2 linked regions of the Cricetulus griseus genome follow. The protein of the gene in region 1 interacts with the protein of each later gene in a biochemical or structural test. Links are inferred from orthologs where the notes say so. Each region holds a gene or a part of one and is shown on either strand. Other genes may lie near its edges.

Region 1 (4,115 bases):
GTGGAGAGGACCTAGGGTCTGAAAACACTATCCTAAGACTTAGCCTAATATAGCCCAGGACAGTCTAATAACCACTGAAGTCCAGATGTACAGCTGGGCAGTGGTGCTGCCCACCTTTAATTACCAGTGCTTGGGAGGCAGAGGCAGGTGGATCTCTGTGAGTTCAAGGCCAGTCTGGTCTACAGAGCAAGTTCTAGGATAGGCTCCAAAGCTACAGAGAATCCTATCTCAAAAAAATCCAGGTGTACAAACAACTTTACTTTCAAATCCATATTAAATATCACCAAACTCAGCAGGTCGGTGGTGGCGCATGTCTTTAGTCCCAGCACTTGGAAGGCAGAGGCAGGCAGATCTCTGTGAGTTGGAGCCCAGCTACACAGAGAAACCCTATCTTTAAAAACCAAAATTAAAAAATAAATCACCAAACTGTGATATACATCATTCTTCAGGATGCTGAAAACCACAATGTGTTATGGGTGCTACCATCATAGTAGGAAATTTTGCCTTTGTCAGAAATACTGGGCTCTGCCATCAGACAGAACCACGTTGATGGTAAGTATCCAAAACACCCCTGGAGCCTGTTGCTATAGATATTTACAGTTATAGTGGAGGATGTCAGAGTATGAGGACTAGCTTGGCAAATATGCTACAGCAGAAGCAGAACTCACCTTAGAACACACAGAAGCCTCTAGTCAGCATCCCAAGCATTTAGTTGCTACTTCCTGGGCCACAAATTTTCCCAGCTGCCAAAACTTCCTGTGGAAAACCAGCAGCCATTGCCAATATAGAGCACAGCAAACCAAGCAGGTAGACAGGGAACCAGGCTGTGGAAAGATCATTTTAGAGACAGTTTTACATACAATATTTACTACCATGACCAGACAGTGATAATTGGGACTGCTGCCGCTACTAGTGTTCCTTTCTTTAAGAAACAAACTTTTTTAAAAAAATGTATCCCTGGCTGGCCTGGAACTCATTATGTAGTCCAGGCTGGCCTGGAATTACTTTTCAAGTGTTGGGATTAAAAGGATGTATGGAGCCTGGAGAGATGGCTCAGAGGTTAAGAGCAGTGGCTGCTCTTCCAGAGGTCCTGAGTTCAATTCCCAGCAAGCACATGGTAGCTCACAACCATCTGTTATGATATATGGAAGCAGAATGTTGTACACATAATAAATAAATAAAATCTTTAAATAAAAAGGCATGTATGGAACACCTCGCCGAGAAAGAATGGAACATCTCCCATAAGTCAGAAGTATCAGGTCTGTGTAGGATGCTGTCCCTTATTAAGTGAATATTTGATTGGGAAAAATTAAATCATGTTTATTGTGAAAGTTAATAAATTGCGTTTATTCAGATGATATAGACCACCTATGGTTGTGCCTGAGACACTGCTGAATTGAAAATGTGTTGCAAAAACTGGCGAATCAAGTTGGACCATTGTGGCACTTGCCTTTAATCCCAGCACTTGGGAAGCAGAGGCAGGGGTGTCTGAGTTTGAGGCCAGCCTGGTCTACAGTGTGAGTTCCAGGATAGCCAGGACTGTTTCGAAAAGAAACCCTGTCTCCAGAAAAACAAACAAACAAACAAACAAACAAACAAACAAAAAACCCTGGTGCATCAGAGGCTCCTACTAGGCAGGTGAACATTCTAGCTGCCAGTAGAATCAAACAAAGAATGTCAACCTAAGAAACAGAGGCCAGGAAATCAGTTCCGCCCTGCATCCAGACATCTGCTGAGGAACATCCATTAAGGTTCAGGGGTACCATGACTGCTAATCTTGGTCACCTAGCTGGAGGGATCCAGGTACACTGCAGCTTGGGGTTCACCACGCTGCTTAGAGCTGACCTTGGGTGGGGGAATGACATTCAGATACTTGTTGCATCAGAAGCAACAGGCCAGAGAAGAACGTTGGCCTTCTCTAAACGGCCAACCTTGCTCTGTCCCCAAGCCTGCTGCCTCATCAGGAGCCTTCCTGGCACCTCTGCTTTCCTCATTGGTTCTGAACCCGGAGGAGGCAGGAAGGACGATTTCTCACTGCCCGATCCAGTCAAGCACATTTAGACACAAACACAAACCCTTGACATAACATCGAATGGCATCCACAAGGGGAACGAACCAAACCCAAACTGTCAGGCCACAGCCGCCAAGAGCTCACCTGTCGGGAGGTTCAGAGTCCCCCACCCGCCTTGAGAATCCGGCAGAAACCCTGATGCTGGGAGAATTGGGACTGGCTTCCGCCGGCCTGACCTTCCGTGAGAGCCCCCGTTGATCCAACCCTGTGGTCAGGGGTGCGCACAGTTAACACCTGAGAAAGGACTGAGACCGCCGCTCGCTTTAAAAGGCTCCCAGGGGTCTGGCGGCTGGGACCCGCTGCATCACCACCACGCACCGAGAACGCGCACCGGGCACGAGCTGTGTCCACGGGCGAAGAACCTTAAGCCTTCTGCACGCAAGGGCCGTGGACGGCTGCGCAAGTCACAGCCGGGTCAAGCTGATCTGGGCCTCTCGGCCCCGTGCCAATGCCCCCGGCGCTGGGAGGACGCCCGACCCGGCCCCCCACTTGCCCGGAGTTTCCGCGCCCGTTCGGCCCTAGAATACCGGACCCTGAGCAGCGCAGATGCTGACAGCGGATCCTCGGGTCGACACCGAGTCGCCAGCTGCACCTCGATGTCCTCCGTCCCTCAACGGCGCCTGTCAAGGCCGCCTCTCCCGCTCCAGCCCACCCGGCTGCCCCACCGCGGCCCCCGACTACAGTCCCCGGCCGCCGCACAGACTGTCGGGAGCTGTAGTTTGCGGCGCTTGGCCTGGGGGCGGGGCAGACAGCTCCCAGGAGGCCCTGCGCTTGACGCAAAGTGCTTGGGGCTGGGAGGCGGGAGCACAGGTCCCCGGAGACCATTCGCGTTGCGTATGCGTTTGGTCAGGCTGCAAACGGACTGACAGGCGCGGTGTCTATGGCTGGCGGGACCTCGGCTTGTCTAAAGAAGAAGCTGGAAATGCCCGAGTCCCGGCAAATAGGGACGCATTTGGGGAGAGAAAGGGTCGGAAAGAGGGGGTACTGAGAAGGCTGGGCGTGCAAAGTCGCTCCCGGAAGTACGTCTGGGCGGAGCCCCAGTGGCACGGGTCTCCTGCGCAGCACACGTTCCCAGGACGCTTTCCGTTGCCTTGGAGACAGAGGTTTAGAGTGACGTCTTGTCTCGGATGGGCGGGGCTTCCAGAGACATGACGAAGACGCATTTAAACTAACTTTTGGATTAATTTTTTGGTGGTTTGTTTCGTTTTGTTTTGTTTTGAGGCAAGGTCTCACTGTGTAGCACTGCTTGACCAGGCTGATCTCATACTCAAGAGTCTCACCTGCCTCTGCCTCCTGCGTGCTGAAATTAAAGCCATGCACCGCCACACCCGGCACGACTTAATTTGATGTAATTTGTTTGTTTTCCTGCGGATCTGGGGCGAAGAGGTCAACTCGGATCAACTGAGCACCCCACCTCCACCCTCTACTGATTTTAGTTCCTCGGACCTACAGATAAAAAGCAACCATCCAGGCCTTTGTGTTATAAACAGTATAAACCGTATACTGTTTACGTATCTTAGACAGTTCTGTGGAGTCTTCAGGCCATAACTTGGTTCTCCAACGACTCTCTTCCCACGCCTTGCACCCATGGGCAAGTTACCTCCGTACTTGTCCTGTCCCTTCACACAGCTTACTGACCAGGTTTATGCCCTGCTCTGCACTACCACACATGGCCCCAGTCCATTCCTGCACAGTCTTGCTTTTTTTCTTTTTTTTTTTTTTAATTTTTGTGGGGTCAGATGCTCCTGGTAAGCCATTTCACTGGCCTCCTTTATTTTGAGACTTACTGTTGCCCAGGTTGACCTTGAACACTCATCTCTAAGCCTTTCAATTTCAAGTGCTGGGGTTTCTGGCCAAGAGTCACCCTCCTAGTTCGGGGCTTGGTTTATCTCATGTCATCGGCTTTATAGTTTGTTTGAGTGGGTGGTGGGTTGGGAAGCTAGTTGGTTTTTGAGATTGGGTCTTACTAAATAGCTCTGGCTGACCTGAACTTTGTGTGTCATCCAGGCTAGCCTGGAACTCACAAAGATTCACCTGCCTCTAC
Region 2 (3,500 bases), on another chromosome or scaffold:
TTCTGCCTTTCTGATATATCAAGCTGTATGTGAGTTAATTAATATCTAGCTTTTTTTCTAAAATAAGCTGTCAGTAATTTTCTTTTAAAAACATTACTTATTCCACAGATGTTCTTTATTCTTTGGTTTCTTTTCTCTTGATTTCTAAAACTTTTTTTCTTTCTATTTAGAATTGTTAGTTAATTTTTTTGTATCTGTTCATACTAATTTCTAACTTAGTCATATTATGGGCAAAGACTATAACCTATGTGACATTGACCAGACATAGATGAGCAATTGGGTGCCGGATTACTGATGTGGAAAAATGTTATGGGATTTCCCACCCAGTTCTGCAGCAGCCTCAGAGCCCTAAATAAACATTTGGACGCTGTATTAGTTATGAATACTGTTGGCCAGTGACAAGGGCTTCTTATTGGCTAATTCTGTCTTAATTATTAACCCAAAACTACTAATGTATGTATATCTACATGGTCTTCTCTTACTGGAAAACAAGTCCGGACCTGTTACTCCTGTGACTCACTCTGCCTACATTTCCCAGAATCCTCCTCATCTCCTAGTCCTACCTGTCTTGCTTCCCTATTGACCAACAGTGCTTTATTCATCAACCAATAAGACAAACATATACAGAAGACATCCCCATCAGAAAAACTTGGAGATAAAGAGAGAAACAAGAGCATTATTCAGAGCCAGTGAGTTTACAGTACTTGTGAGCAGACTTGCAAAAGGATCATGTGGTCAGTTAGAAGAGAACTTTGTACTGTTTTTAGAGAGGCAGGCATATTTAATGTTCATGAACAACCTTTTCTAATTAAGGACAATTTTTCATAGTTGCAGAAGACCCTGCAAAGTCACTTACAGAGCTGTCTCCAGACTTTGGACATTCATCATCACCACCACAACCTCCTTCCATGAACTCCTTATCCAGCGAGAACAGATTTCACTCTTTACCCTTCAGCCTGACAAAGATGCCCAATACCAATGGCAGCATTGCTCATAGTCCACTGTCATTGTCAGTGCAGTCTGTGATGGGGGAGCTGAACAGCACACCTGTCCAGGAGAGTCCACCCTTGCCCATCTCTTCTGGTAATGCACACGGTCTAGAGGTGGGCTCACTGGCTGAAGTGAAAGAGAACCCCCCATTCTATGGGGTTATCCGTTGGATTGGCCAGCCACCAGGGCTCAGTGACGTGCTAGCTGGACTGGAACTGGTAATTTGTTTTGGTCTAAAGTCTACATCTTTTCTGCATGGGATTTTTGTCTAGGTTCTCCCCTATTAGATAATTTCTTGGGAAATTGTTTTATTTGTCAAAAAAAAAAAAAAAGCCAGTAGTTTCTTATAGTATTGCCTAGCTTCACCCTTTGCCGTTCCTCAAGCTTCTGGTTCACTTATTCCTCATGTTTGTTTCTCTAAGATCAAGGAATAGATTGATATTTTTTAGGCTAGAATATTTAGCCTCCACATATAAACAGAATGCAGCAAAGAAAGCAATTCTGTTACCAGCTTTTCTTCTTATTCATTAGCCTCTTCCCATTGCAGTCAGTGTAGGGACGTTATTGACTTTATTAATCATCATGTTTGGAGGTCTTTGGGAGAGGGGAAGGTTTTATCTTTGGATATTAGAAAAGCATATAGTATGATATTTCATAACCAGAAGGGAGAACTTGAATAAACTTAGGTATTACCTAACTATGTATGGTTTTTAATTTTTTTCACTTGTTTTCTTGCTGTCGAGGAACTAGGTAATTTATCTACTCCTGCCGCTTGGTTTTAATACTTTTGGAATGAATGGCTCAGGGAAAGCCAGTAAACCTGGACAATTCTGAGCGTATATTTTGAAAGACAATGTATCAAGTACTTCCTGGTGGGCTGAAGAGTTGTTTTTTTAAGCTACTAGCTAGGGGCCAAAGCAACAGTTAGTCAGTCCCTGTTCGTTGGTACTGTTGTAGTCAGTACAGATTTGAATTCAGAAAAAGTGAAAATTCCATAGTTCTTCCCTGCTTTTTTTTTTTTGCGAGGTGCTGTGTAACATATACCAAAGCCTTTCTTTTTCAGGAAGATGAATGTGCAGGCTGTACGGACGGAACTTTCAGGGGCACTCGCTACTTCACCTGCGCCCTGAAGAAGGCGCTGTTCGTAAAACTGAAGAGCTGCAGACCCGACTCTAGGTTTGCGTCCTTGCAGCCTGTTTCTAATCAGATTGAAAGGTGTAATTCTTTAGGTACTTGGATACTTTTAATTTATTACCCATCCGGAATGACTGTTTCATGCTGCCTTTCAGTAACTGAGGGTGATAGGGTTTAAATGATTTAGTTTCCAATGTTCATCAAGTTTCTGAGTTAGTAAAGATTGTTACTTGGTGCATAAGGAAACTGTCCTAAGAGAAGATACATTGAAAAAGAGTCAGGAAAAGTGTTTAGGATCTAAAGAGTGAAAAGTAGTGTTTTTTTCTCTCTATTGATTATAAACATTTAATTTTTGTCATGGGTGGTAGAAATGAAAATGTGGCCCTTTTAGCATTAACTTCCCCCTCACCATCTTATTTAAGTAAGTCACTCAGGGTATCCTATGAAGAAGTCTGATACAGTCTGGAGATGCAGTCAGCTTGGCAGATGGAGGACAGTTTTTCTCATCACTTGTCACCAGCTTGTTCTGAACAATAGTGAGAGTCAAGCAGGGGAAAGTAGGGAAACCATCTTTATGAAAAACATTTTTTAATGTTATGTTTGAAAATGAAACATTTTGGACAAGTAACAAAATATTTATTTGATAGGTGCTTAATTGACTTAATTTTCTAAATTCTATATGAAGGGAGTGGTGTTAAAAGTGAATAATAACATTTTTTAAATAAGCCCAGATAAATAACAGTTAATTAAAGTAAAAAAAAATTGTAGGAGGATGCCAAAATATACTTTAAATGATATACATATGCACATGTGTATGAATATATGCTATTATGGTTTCAAAGAGTTATTTTCATTTTTTATCTTTTCAGCATTTGGAGGCTACTTAAGTGAAGTAGTAGAAGAAAATACTCCACCAAAAATGGAAAAGGAAGGTTTAGAGATTATGATTGGAAAGAAGAAAGGTATCCAGGGCCATTACAATTCTTGTTATTTAGACTCAACTTTATTCTGGTGAGTTCCTACTTTCTGTAGTGGGTAAAGATAGTGCTGTGGGAGGGAGGGGAGACAGGTAGATGTGTGTGTATGTGAAAGGAGGTGTCAAATGCCTTTGAGTAGAGAAACTGATGGCGTTAAGAAAGACCATGAGATTTGGTCCTTTGTAGCTAAAGAATTTCATGTACTATTCTTAGATCCAAAACAGTAACATAAAAATATTGCAATGAATAATGAGTAGAAGCAGTGATCCCTGTGAACAGATACCCTGAAGACATCTGTCTCCAATGTAGTATGATTGCACATGTGCTAACTAACCTGCAGTAAGCTATTGGCATTGTATGCTGTGTGTGTGTTTTAGTATACTGAAAATTCTTTATATT

The links. The genes of interacting proteins can lie anywhere in the genome.
Region 2: of the proteins of Mib2 (region 1) and Cyld, one has a biochemical effect on the other in vitro, tested with the Homo sapiens proteins (2 studies listed by BioGRID, with this or other methods). The link is inferred for Cricetulus griseus from reciprocal best matches to the Homo sapiens genes MIB2 and CYLD.

Annotation. Positions count from the first base shown.
Region 1 is NC_048595.1:604,017-608,131, reverse strand, and holds the start of Mib2 (E3 ubiquitin-protein ligase MIB2), read right to left. Parts: upstream 2,801-4,115; 5' UTR 2,599-2,800; exon of another isoform or gene 2,390-2,598; intron 2,277-2,389; 5' UTR 2,156-2,276; intron 825-2,155; 5' UTR 669-824; intron 1-668. UniProt on the Homo sapiens protein: E3 ubiquitin-protein ligase that mediates ubiquitination of Delta receptors, which act as ligands of Notch proteins.
Region 2 is NC_048596.1:164,355,799-164,359,298, forward strand, and holds part of Cyld (ubiquitin carboxyl-terminal hydrolase CYLD), read left to right. Parts: intron 1-828; coding exon 829-1,208; intron 1,209-2,053; coding exon 2,054-2,219; intron 2,220-2,993; coding exon 2,994-3,135; intron 3,136-3,500. UniProt on the Homo sapiens protein: Deubiquitinase that specifically cleaves 'Lys-63'- and linear 'Met-1'-linked polyubiquitin chains and is involved in NF-kappa-B activation and TNF-alpha-induced necroptosis.